Linked DNA regions of Ovis aries. The protein of the gene in region 2 purifies or fractionates together with the protein of the main gene of each other region. This does not show direct contact. Links are inferred from orthologs where the notes say so. Each region holds a gene or a part of one and is shown on either strand. Other genes may lie near its edges. The genes, in order: TSC22D1, NRBP1 and TSC22D2.

What was found.
Region 1: the proteins of NRBP1 (region 2) and TSC22D1 purify together in Homo sapiens (affinity purification with mass spectrometry; 6 studies listed by BioGRID and IntAct, with this or other methods). This does not show direct contact. The link is inferred for Ovis aries from reciprocal best matches to the Homo sapiens genes NRBP1 and TSC22D1.
Region 3: the proteins of NRBP1 (region 2) and TSC22D2 purify together in Homo sapiens (affinity purification with mass spectrometry; 5 studies listed by BioGRID and IntAct, with this or other methods). This does not show direct contact. The link is inferred for Ovis aries from reciprocal best matches to the Homo sapiens genes NRBP1 and TSC22D2.

What each region holds. Positions count from the first base shown.
Region 1 is NC_056063.1:15,072,769-15,075,580, reverse strand, and holds the end of TSC22D1 (TSC22 domain family protein 1), read left to right. Parts: intron 1-834; coding exon 835-1,092; 3' UTR 1,093-2,221; downstream 2,222-2,812. UniProt on the Homo sapiens protein: Transcriptional repressor. Acts on the C-type natriuretic peptide (CNP) promoter. Acts to promote CASP3-mediated apoptosis.
Region 2 is NC_056056.1:34,470,901-34,475,241, forward strand, and holds the start of NRBP1 (nuclear receptor-binding protein), read left to right. Parts: upstream 1-1,463; 5' UTR 1,464-1,564; intron 1,565-4,341. UniProt on the Homo sapiens protein: Required for embryonic development. Plays a role in intestinal epithelial cell fate and proliferation, thereby involved in the architectural development of the intestine potentially via the regulation of Wnt-responsive genes.
Region 3 is NC_056054.1:238,433,583-238,437,967, reverse strand, and holds the start of TSC22D2 (TSC22 domain family protein 2), read left to right. Parts: upstream 1-1,479; 5' UTR 1,480-2,565; coding exon 2,566-4,385. UniProt on the Homo sapiens protein: Reduces the level of nuclear PKM isoform M2 which results in repression of cyclin CCND1 transcription and reduced cell growth.

The DNA.
Region 1 (2,812 bases), on a different chromosome or scaffold from region 2:
TGTGGCTTTCCTAGGGATCCTAAGGTTTACCGCGGAGCCGGGAGCGGGGAGGGCCCCAGAAGTGGGGGGTCTCGGGAAGGAGCCTCCTCCACAGGGCCAAACGGATCCCCAGTGGTGGAGGCTCCTGCACAATGAAGAAGAGCCGGAGAAAAGTTTCGCCGTCTCAGCCTGCGCCTGGATTTCTCCCATTTTTTATTTCCGCCTTGGCCGTTCTTTGTTATTGGAGCAGCGCCTGTGGCTCTTCTCACGGGATTCTCTGCCCACTGTTGCTAGGCAAACTCCGAACCTTTAATTCGGAGCTATAAATAACTCGAGCGCCCATTGGCTGCGACGGCTGCCCAGGTTTCTGTGATGTCAGCTTAATCACGAAAAGGGGGGGTGGGGGGAGGAAAATGCGGCAACACGCTCTGTAGGAACTGGCTGCAGCCGGTGCTGAGGGAGGCGGTCCAGCGGGCGGAGGGAGGGGCTTGGGGGCGGGGTCGTGGCTCCCGTTGCTCGGGGCTGGACATCCCTGGGCCCGGCTTCTTTCTGCACCGAGCTGGAGCCCGGCTGCGTTTTGCCATCTCGAATAGGAAACCTGAGCGTAGGCACTCCTGGCCAACAGCTGCAAGGAAAGCAAAACCTTGATCACTTATACGTTAAACTGAAGTATTGTACAGTTAGGGTGGTATTCCGTCTTTTTCCCCTGGAGCCTGTTAAATGAATCTCTAAAGGCAGGATATGTCAGTGGTTAGGGAGAGACTTGCAAAATGTTTTAACAATTTAGAGTCCGGGAAACAGTCAATAGAACGTTAAACCTTTCTCCCCCACCCCGCTTCCTTCTCTCCCTTTCAGGATCTGGTGAAAAGCCATTTGATGTATGCAGTTAGAGAGGAAGTGGAGGTCCTCAAGGAACAGATCAAGGAACTCATAGAGAAAAATTCCCAGCTGGAGCAGGAGAACAATCTGCTGAAGACACTGGCCAGTCCCGAGCAGCTTGCCCAGTTCCAGGCCCAGCTGCAGACTGGCTCGCCCCCTGCCACCACACAGCCACAGGGGACCACACAGCCCCCGGCCCAGCCAGCATCCCAGGGCTCAGGACCAACTGCGTAGCCATCCCGGCCCCCGAAGAACTGGCTGCTGTGGTCTGAACTGAACAGACCTGAGAAGATGTACTAGGGGAGGGGTCCGCCCCCACCGTCACCCATTTCATTGCTCGCTGCAAAAGAGACGTGAGACTGACATATGCCATTTTCTCTTTTTTCCAGTATTAAACACTCATATGCTTTCGGCTTGAAGAAATTGCTTAGTTGGGTGAGTTAAAGGTTAATCAGAGAATTAGCATGGATATACTGGGACCTCATGCAGCTTGGCAGAACCGTGAGAAGTGGTTTCATTCATTCTGAGGAGCTGTTGTGCCTTTCCACTCCCCGCCCCTGCTCCCCACTCCCCCCCACCTCCAAGAGTTCTTCCTGCTTGCACAGTAGTGTACTCCATGGGGTTCCAAAGCAGAGGAGCTTGCCGCTGGACTTTCCTCTCCTCCCCCGAGAGGAACTGGAAAGGGGGGTGAAGGTCAAGAGTGAAGCTTAGTCTCACCTAAGATGAGGGGAAAACATAGTTCATTGTACAAACGACGACTGTCACCAGACTCCATTAAAAAAAAAAATCGTACTGTGCCTCTTTCCGAAACAGTGACACAAAACTATTAGCGTGACTAAATGGTGACAGGTAGCTGGGACCTAAGCTCTCTTACCATGAAGGTTGTTTTGCTTATTGTATATTTGTGTATGTAGTGTAACTATTTTGTACAATAGAGGACTGTAACTACTATTTAGGTTGTACAGATTGCAATTTAGATGTTTCATTGGCTGTCTGAAGAGGTGTGGATTGTCTTTTATATAGCGATCTCCGTGAAAAACCCATGAAGCAAAACACACCTCCCTAAAGAGATTTTAAGAATTTGGCACAGTTAGTCACTTTGTGTAATCTGCAATCTTCTAGCTGCTGAGTATCTTGAAGTCGCTCCCTGTTCACTGAAATCCTTGATTGAACTGGTTGAATACTTTGAAAAATGCAGAGTTCTAGCTAATGGATTTCCCAGTAGGGGTTTCTGCATATTACCTGTATAGTAGTTACCTGCATATGTTTCTGTGCATGTTCTCTACACAGTTGTAAGGTGTCACTGTATTTAACTGTTGCACTTGTCAACTTTCAATAAAGCATACAAAATGTTGATAAACAAGTGTTTCTACGTTACAGTGTTAATGTAATGGTAGTCATTTCCACAACTCTTTCCAGGCCAAGTTAAAACAATTTGGTGAAATTCTGAAGGGGGGTGAAAGGGTTGGGCAAAGTAGTGATGCTCATGGTTTGACTGGAGAAACATAAGGAATCTGACATTGAGTTCTTTCAGGGAGTAAGGGAAGAGACAAGGAGGCAAGAGCTTGGTCCTTGAGACTGGTTGTGTGACCTGGACAAGCCGCGTTCCCCATTCACAGCTGATGCGAGGGAGCTGAGAGAAATCTCTTGAATGCCTCTGTGGCTTTAAAACTCTGGGAGTCCGTGGAAGTCTTAATCTTCTAGTGTTTACCGGCTGAGGGGAATGAACCTTACTCCATGTATAATCCCAACAAGCAGCTCTAGGATCAGAAGTTGGGGCTTAGAGAGAGAATCTGATTTCCGCTTCAAGAACTCTGAGAATGGATGCCTTTCCTAGTGTGGATTGAGTTCCCAGCTCCTAGGGATGCCCAAACAAAAGATAGGATAATTCCAGTGGCTTCCTTTATACTGAGTTTGAGGAAGGACCAGATGAACAAGGGAGTCCCCTCCCACT
Region 2 (4,341 bases):
GACTAGGATTGGAAGACATGCCCCCTGCATTGGAAGGGCAGTTTTAACCCCTGGTCTGGCAGAGAAGTCTCCTTGGGCATTTTAAATATGAATGAAAATGGACTTTCCTGGAAATCCAGTGGTTAAGACTTCAACTTCCACTGTAAGGGCAGTGGGGAATGCAGCTGGGCAAAAAACAACAAAAAAACCATGAATGAAAGGTTAAAAACAAATAAGAGCTTGAGGATGCCTAGGTCCTTTATGCAGATTTGAAAGGAGCTAGTTGAAAGGTAAAGGTCAATGATACTAAGACCCAGACAGGAGATAATGGGAAACTGCAATAGTAGTATCAACTGATATTTAATGTTTACTGTGGGGCAGGTATTCAGTGCTTTGGAATATACGAAGTTAAGAGATTAATCTGGATAGGAGGAGGAACATTCTTTCTTTGAGATGACAACAAAGATTCTTAACCTCAGCTCCCTGAAATTATATGCTAAATATCCAAAACAAGGTCCAGATTTCTAAGCGTGTTGGAGCCCTCTCTTTCAAAGATGAAAGCATCAAGGAACAAAGAGTGATTTTAAAAATTTTGAGGTGAAGAGATGGAAAATGAGAAGACTTTTGCCAGTCTTATCAGTTAAACAGGACAACAGATGTCCTTTAGTGAAATTTGGTGATTATGACATTCCCAAGTACTGATTGATTCACCCTTCTCCCTCCACAATACGTGTCTTAAGAGCCGAGTCCACTTCTTTCCTTTGGACTCTCTTCGATCTAAATTTTTTCCAAACATCTTTTCAAGGAAATCTGTGATAAGCCTTACTGTTTCGGATCCTAATTTAGTTCTTACCAACTTTCGGTGAATAGCTTAATGCCTCTGATTCAGTATTTTTCCATTTGACAACTACTGCTCAAAGAAAATTTCAATTTCTTATGAGGATCAAAAGAGAGAACATCTGTGAAAACCTCTTGCGAAGTTTTGGCCAACGTCATTACTATCCACTTACGAAGCGTTAACTATTAATTTTCAGTTTTAATGTACACAGTAATTCAAAGAAAGTTTTCTGAATAGGTGTCCTGCACAGTCTCACCCCCAAATACTGAAAGCGGGTGGGCTCTCCTCTCGGATTGTGGCTGCGTCTTTCGCTCCTTTTGTCTTTCAGTCGTACTAGAACTGTCATGGCGCCTTCAAGAAAAGGGGCAAGGCCTTCCTTTCGCCCAGCAGAATCGTCCGGGGCACCAGGACCGGACCGAGGGGTAGACAGAGAGACGAGCCTCACTGAGACCGAAAACACCGAACCCGCCGAGAGATCTCAGCCGGACAGGCGCAGCGGGAGGAGACCGGGTTGAAGGCTACCTCTACCAGCCACAGTACACCCGGGGCACCGCCCACCCTGGCCGCCCTGTCCAATGGAAACCCAACGGCAGTGCGGCACCGCCCACTGTTGGTCAGGACGCCACGAGGGCGGGGCCCGCAGTTCGGTTGCGCCGCGGAGCGCAGCTGTGAGCGAGTCTTTCTGATCCGGGGCCCCGGAACCCGAGCTGGAACTGAAGCGCAGGCTGCGGGGAGCGGAGTCAGGAGGTGAGCGCCTAGGGGAGGGAAGGTTTCAGCGAGAGGACCGAAGGATCGGCCTCTAGGGCCCGGATCTGGGACCCTAGCAGGCGAGTGTCTGGAGGCGGCCCTGCTCACTCGGTGGCCAAGGCCCGGCCCGCCGGAGCCGGGGGGCCGCCTCGGCCCCACATTTCCTGCCCGGCCCTCCCCGACTGCCCCCGAGTGGCGGCAGGGGGCCCCGGAATTCTGCGGGCGCGGGGCGCGAGGCCCCGGCGTTCGTGTAGAACTCGGCCTGACGAGAGGCGGGGCCGGCGGCGGGGGCGGGGGCGGGGGCGGCGGCCGCAGGCCCGGAGGCCTGCGGAAGCGCAGCGTCGGGGCCGCGCCTGCTCGCGGGGCCGGCGCGCCGACTGCGCGGGGGCGTGGCCTGCGCCCCTGACGGCGCCGCGGGGCCGGCCTCTGGTGAGGTGGCCGCTGCTGGCTACAGGGCCTGCTTGGGGGCCCGACGCTCCCTCGCAGTCAGCGGGCTAGGCGACCTGTTGGAGTGTTAAATTCCTCCTCGAGTTTATATCTGTCTGACTGGTCAGTCCTGCAGGTCTCAGGTCCTCTTCGGTCCCCTCAGGATGAGAGCGGGCGAGAGGCCTGTGGCCTGCGAGGTGTTGCTGAGGAGTTGAGATGCTAAGAAGCTGCAGTCCAAAAAATGAAAAACTTCGCAGGAAAAAACTTTGCAGTGTTTTACCTGCACGGCTCAGAAGTGAACACTGTGCATCTTGGGGTGGCTGGAGGCGGCGAGGAGATTCCCTTTTTCCGTCTGTGGTCTTATTTAAATTTCTGAACGACTGACCCTGAGACAAAAACTCCCAGTGTTGCAAAGGTTTCTTCATCAGCAGGAGGGGTCCTGGGGATTCTTGGGCATTGCCATCATCTTGCCTACTGGGGAGAGATTGGGGAGGGAGAAGACAAGCACATTCGAAGAGCGTCTATGACTGATGAAGGTCTGGCATCTCGTGCCATACTGTGGATTAACTGTCTGTGCCCTGGGTCCAGAAGTTTCTTTAGAGCCCACTGGCCACAGGCTTCCTGTATTACAGTTCCACTGATATTTCTTATTATGTAGCTGGTTCTTTCCGTAGCTGTTCAGATTCAGGATACATTCTATAAATAGTTACTCTAGAAAGTAATCCCTGTGAGCTTTTAGCTACTTTTCATGGGGAGAAGAAAAATGATCTGTAACTTAAATTTACTGATAGATTACTAAAACTTGTTGATTGAAATCCATGATAGGCAAAGATTGAGGAAAAAACAGGTGAAAAAAAGCATCTTGCCAGATTTTCTCTGTAGTGCTTTGTTGCTCTTTGATATTTACTGGAATGTCATCTAATAAAAATCTCCTCCAAAATGAAAAAAAAAAATTTTTTTTAAAGACCAAGGAAATCTCCTGACTTGAGTTAAACATAGTGCAGGTTGGTGGCAGAGATGGGCAGAGGAGGGCATCTGAGTTCTAAAAAGAAATGAGAGCTTTTCAAAAGATCCTGATCAGAAGCTTCTGTATTTTGAACTGACTTAGAGGAGCAAATCTACAAGATACTTTCATCCTGGGGAGCATCCCCTTTAGCCCAGCACACACAGGTTCCAACTTCTTCACGGCCTTCATTCTTAGAGATGTGGAATAACATTCAGCAGTTTTCCTATGACTCTGAAATTTGTGACATTTCGCTTTTGAGAATTCTTTTTTTCCAAGAAGCCATATCCATGTATAATACTATACACTATTTAGTGTAATATAGTACTTTTCCTGTAATGGCTTTGTCTTGAATTATTTGTGCTTAAAAGGGATACCTGTGTCAGATCCAGTGCCTCAGAGGATGGAGCCTTTGAGCCATGTGAATGAAATGAAAACTGGAAGATTAAAATCTTAGCTGTGCCTTAAATTTAGGCTTTATGAGTGTTGGCATCTTATTTATATTGTTCACTGTGGTATCTCGAGCACCTAGCTCAGTGCTTGGCCCACAATAGGTGCTTAATAAACACTTGTTGAATGAGTGAATGGAAAAAAAATGTTGCTAACCAGTACCCACCCATTTGCCACACTCACATCACAGGGCAGGTGAGGTCATCAGGAATGAAGTCACTAACCACTACCGGTTACCTGGCCCAAGGGTAGCCTCATCATGGACTGGCAGACTTATTCTGTGCATAGGAGGGATGGAGAGTGGATGCCAGGGTTAGTGCAAGTGGAATAAATCAGCTTAGGGTTTCAGTTGGACAAATTGGTTGAGAATACTACAGCTCTAACTCTCGAGCTGGTTCATTGGAACATTTGGGGATCTGGAGTCATCTGCCCTGCATAGTGCCCGTGTAGCTTGGTTCTTGAGCATAATGCAGATGAGGTAGATGAGAATTCAAAGGGAAGGCTATTGGGTAGGTATTTGCTGAGAAAGAATGAGGCCCCTGATTTTGCTGTTCCATTTGGACCTTACTAAACATGAGTTGCACAACCATAAATCTTTTGTTTGCCAGTCTTGGGTGAATCATCTTTTTACATGATAGAATATATTTATTAACATGTTTATGCATAGCAGCATATTCTTTAAGCTTGATGTGTACTTCAGTTGGTCACTGACCTGGGTGAGTCATCTTCAGCTGAGATAGCTCCCCTTCTCCAGACTAGGAGAGCAGTTAATGTTTAGGGTTCATACAGGACTAATTCTGATTTTGGACTTAAAGGAAACAAGGGAGCTGTATGTTTTATTTACTTTTAAACCCCAGATTAGGTTATTAGGATGGAATCTTTATAGAATCTATTCTAA
Region 3 (4,385 bases), on a different chromosome or scaffold from region 2:
CAATCTAGAAAATCAATCCAAAATGAAGTTTTTATAAACTCATATTTGATGTAACCAGTTGATCTAACTTATTGATGGAAAACTGTCTAACAATTACTGAAATTACAGATTTAGTAATGAAACATTCCATTAGCTATTTTTGCCACAATAGCAACATTATGTTACCCCTTGGTTCCTTTACTCTCTCCCACCCCCTTAAGAAGCAGGAATTTTATTATGTTGTCTTATTTCACATCCTGACCTCAGTCATTTGGTTTGAAATACACAATGTCTCCTAAAGTTTAATGACATAGACATATCCTTGTATATTATTTTCAACTAATGACCTAAACAGTTCTCTGAAATTTTAAATTATCAAAAGATCCTTTGGAATAAAAAATATTTCTATTATTCAAAGATTAGAGAACTGAATACAATAATTACCTTGATTTATGTCAGTCATGATATGATTGCTAAAGCTGTAATAGATATTAAACTTTGAATTCCATCAAGACACTTTAGATTTTACCTAAACAATGTGTCAAAGAGCCAGCTTCCTTTTTTTTTTTTCCAACTATTTAAAAGAATGACGTTACCATTTTCTTTTGCCAGAGAGTAACTAAATGATGGTAAATTCTCCAGTACTTGCATAGCTGCTTTCTGGACAGGAAAGAGTGCTTTCTAACTTGCTCAGATTGTTCACGGCCCAATCCAAACCATCTAACACTCTGGCTCTAACTAAGAGTTTCAGAATAAACAAAAGAAAGAACTACAACTATTTAACGCAGTAGGTTCTACATTTATGGAGCCCATAAGCTGATTTCATGCTGAAAGTAAAAACAGTCTCAAGATGTTTAAACGAACTCTTCGATGCTGGAATCACAACAAACTCAAGAAAATTAGGAATATGTTGGTAACCTCTAATCTTTTTTTAAACTGACCTCATCCTGGGCAAGTAACCATCTCCTGATGCCATTGTTGGACACTAAAATTTCTGGCTGAAAGATCCTTTTTCTGACTCAATCTGGCTTGCTATTCTTGGTTAATCCTCCCCGTTTCTCTCAACATTTCACTCTTCTGACTATAGTGGATAACATTCATTTGCAGGAAAGGCTTTTTATAAGTGATTCGGTTCCTCCAGCCGTCTCCCTCTTTATCCTAGCTAAATCCCCCAACCTCCATTCCTATCGCCTTCTTTCACTAAGATTTTGCTAAACATTAGACACAGCAAGCACATGACCTCCAGTTTCCAATGTCTCCGAATAAACCGATATAAAAACCTTCAATTGGCGCGGCTGTAAGTTTTCCTAGAGTTGGAATTTAAGAGTCTTTAGTTCTTCAACTCTTAAAGACCTACAGGGCAAATTTAAATTTAAAAAAATTTTTTAAATTAAAAAAAAAAAAAACCGCTCCCCGTTTTTAACCTTTAGCCCCGCCCACTACCCCCCAGCCTCCACGCGAAACTCTGCAGGAAACCGGAGGGGGCGGGGTGGTGACGTCACGACGCCGGTGCGTCACGGAACGGCGGCGGCTGCGGCGCTGGCGGTGGCTGCGGCAGCGGCGGCATTTTAGTCGGCAGCGGCGGCGGCAGCGGGGCTGCTGCTCCTCCCAGCATCCCTGGCGCGGCCATTTCAGCCCCATCTTGGCCGAGGGGAGGGAGCTGCAGCCGCCGCTTCAGCAGTTTGAATTTCAGTTTCTACAGGGCCTGCGAACCGGGCGCATCGAGGAAGAGTCGAAGAAGCTACCGCAGCTACCTCACACAGCCGGCGCGCCGTCGCTTGCCGGCCTGCCGGCCGCCGCCCCTCACTCTCTCAGGAGCCGCGAGGGGAAGGCCGAGACCGCCGCCACCGCCCGCTCGCGGGGGTGGCTCCCCCTGTATAGGGGAGGACCGAGCCGGCTTTCCCCTCCCCCGGAGCAGGTTTCCGCCTGAGACAGTCGACATGTCCCTGGGACTGAGCTCCGGCTAGAGCCGGGGAGGGAGGGCCGCCCGCCCGCGCCGAAGCTCCGCCACCCGCCCGCGGCTCCTGGCTGAATCAGGAATCCCTGGCTCCGGACTCGCCACTCCTACTCCTGCTTCCCTCGGCGTCCGAGAGCCCGGAGCTGACGCCGGCACTGGTTCGAAGAGCCGGAGCGGGGCAGCACCGCCCCTCACGCCGCCGCCGCCTCCCCTTCGCCCTCCCACTCCCACCCCCAGCCTAGGCCTGTTGACCGCGCGGAGCTGGATTGACCACGGCGGCCCGAAGACGCGAGGAGGAAGCAGCCGACCCGCCCCTGGGATAGTGGTCTCGCCGCCACTGGGGGGATTGAATTGAGGCGCCGCGACTGCGGGAGGCGAGAAGGAAGGAGGAGCCGCCGCACGAGTGAGACGGGGGCAGAGCGGTAGACACCGACTCGGATAAGGAAACGGGAGGAGGATGTCTCACGGAGCGACCGGCGCCCGGATCAGCCCGTGACTCTTACAGCGGCGGGCCTCAGACCCCAGCACGGACACGGACTTTGTCTTTGGGGGCCAGTGTTCTGCCCTTCCTGGTTTCCGGCAAGATCGCGGAGGAGCCGGGTGCTTCTGCCCTTCCAGCCTTCCTCACCATGTCCAAGATGCCGGCCAAGAAGAAGAGCTGCTTCCAGATCACCAGTGTCACCACGGCCCAGGTGGCTACTAGCATCACCGAGGACACCGAGAGCCTGGACGACCCGGATGAGTCACGCACGGAGGACGTTTCTTCCGAGATATTCGACGTTTCTCGGGCCACGGATTACGGCCCCGAGGAGGTCTGCGAGCGCAGCTCCTCCGAAGAGACACTCAACAATGTTGGGGATGCCGAGACTCCCGGAACCGTCTCCCCCAACCTTCTCCTGGACGGACAGCTGGCGGCCGCGACAGCCGCTCCGGCCAACGGAGGAGGAGCCGTTTCGGCCCGGAGCGTGGCCGGGGTGCTGACCAGCACCCTGTCGCCGGCCGCCCCCTCAGCCCCCTCCTCGGGGGCCCCCGGCGCCCCCCCGGTCACAGGCCCGTCCGCCACGCCGGGAACTGCCGCCTCATCACAGCCCCCCACCGCTTGTAGTTCGCGTTTTCGCGTGATCAAGCTGGACCACGGCAGCGGGGAGCCTTATAGACGCGGCCGATGGACGTGTATGGAATACTATGAGCGGGATTCCGATAGCAGCGTCCTGACCCGGTCCGGGGATTGCATTAGGCACAGCAATACTTTTGACCAGACTGCGGAGCGGGACAGCGGCCTGGGCGCCACCGGAGGGTCGGTGGTGGTGGTGGTGGCCTCCATGCCAGGCGCGCACGGGCCCGACTCGGGAACTGACAGCTCCTTGACTGCTGTGTCACAGCTACCCCAGTCGGAGAAAATGAGCCAACCCGCCCCGGCCCCGCCGCAGAGTTTTGGCGTTGGGCAGCCGCAGCCGCCGCCGCCGCCGCCTCCGCCCGTAGGTGGGGCTGTGGCTCCAAGCTCGGCTTCGTTGCCGCTGTTCCCGGGAGCCGCGGCCGCGCCGCCGCAGAGGTTGGCAGCCCCGCCGCCCAGCCAGGCCCAGGGCGCCGGGCCCCCGGGGCCCAACGGACAGGGCCTGCCACTGACGAATGTAACCCTGGCGCAGCCCGGCCTGGCCGTGGGCGCTGCCACCGCGCCCCCGCCCCAGCAGTTCGCGTATTCTCAGCCTCAGATGCCGCCGGGCCATCTGCTGCCCGTCCCGCCCGCCGGCCAGAGTGAGTACCTGCAGCCGCACGTGGCCGGCCTGCAGCCGCCCAGCCCGGCGCAGCCCTCTTCCACGGGCGCGGCAGCGGGTCTGGCCGCGGCCGCCGGTCTCCCCGCGGGCACCGGCCAGAACGCCGCCTCCACTGGCGCGCAGATGATGGGTGCGCCCTCCTTGCCCGGAGAAGCGGTGGCCCCTGGGCCGGGCCCCGCGCCCGGAGGACCGGCCGCGCAGGGTCAGCCGGCCGGAGTGCCCCCGGCTACTGTGGGAGGCACGGCGCCATCGGGCCTGGTTCCCGCCGGGGTCGGGCAGCCGCAGGCCGCGCCTCTGCCGCAGATGGGTGGCAGCGGCGCGCCGTCGGTCGTGCCCGGCGGCCCTCTTGCCGTGGTGCCCGGAGTTGCCAACGTGCCTGCAGCCGCGCCCGCTCCCAGCGTGCCTAGTGTGTCGACGACTTCTGTTACTATGCCAAATGTTCCCGCGCCCCTGGGCCAGGCGCCGCAGCTTTGCAGCCAGCCTCCGGTCAGCAGGAGCGGCAGCAGCATCCAGCACGTGGGGCTGCCCTTAGCGCCTGGCACAGCCAGTGCCCCGACGAGTCTACCGCAGTCTGACCTGAGCCAGTTTCAGACTCAGACCCAGCCTTTAGTCGGGCAAGTTGACGATACTAGAAGAAAATCAGAACCCCTACCTCAACCACCACTTTCTCTCAT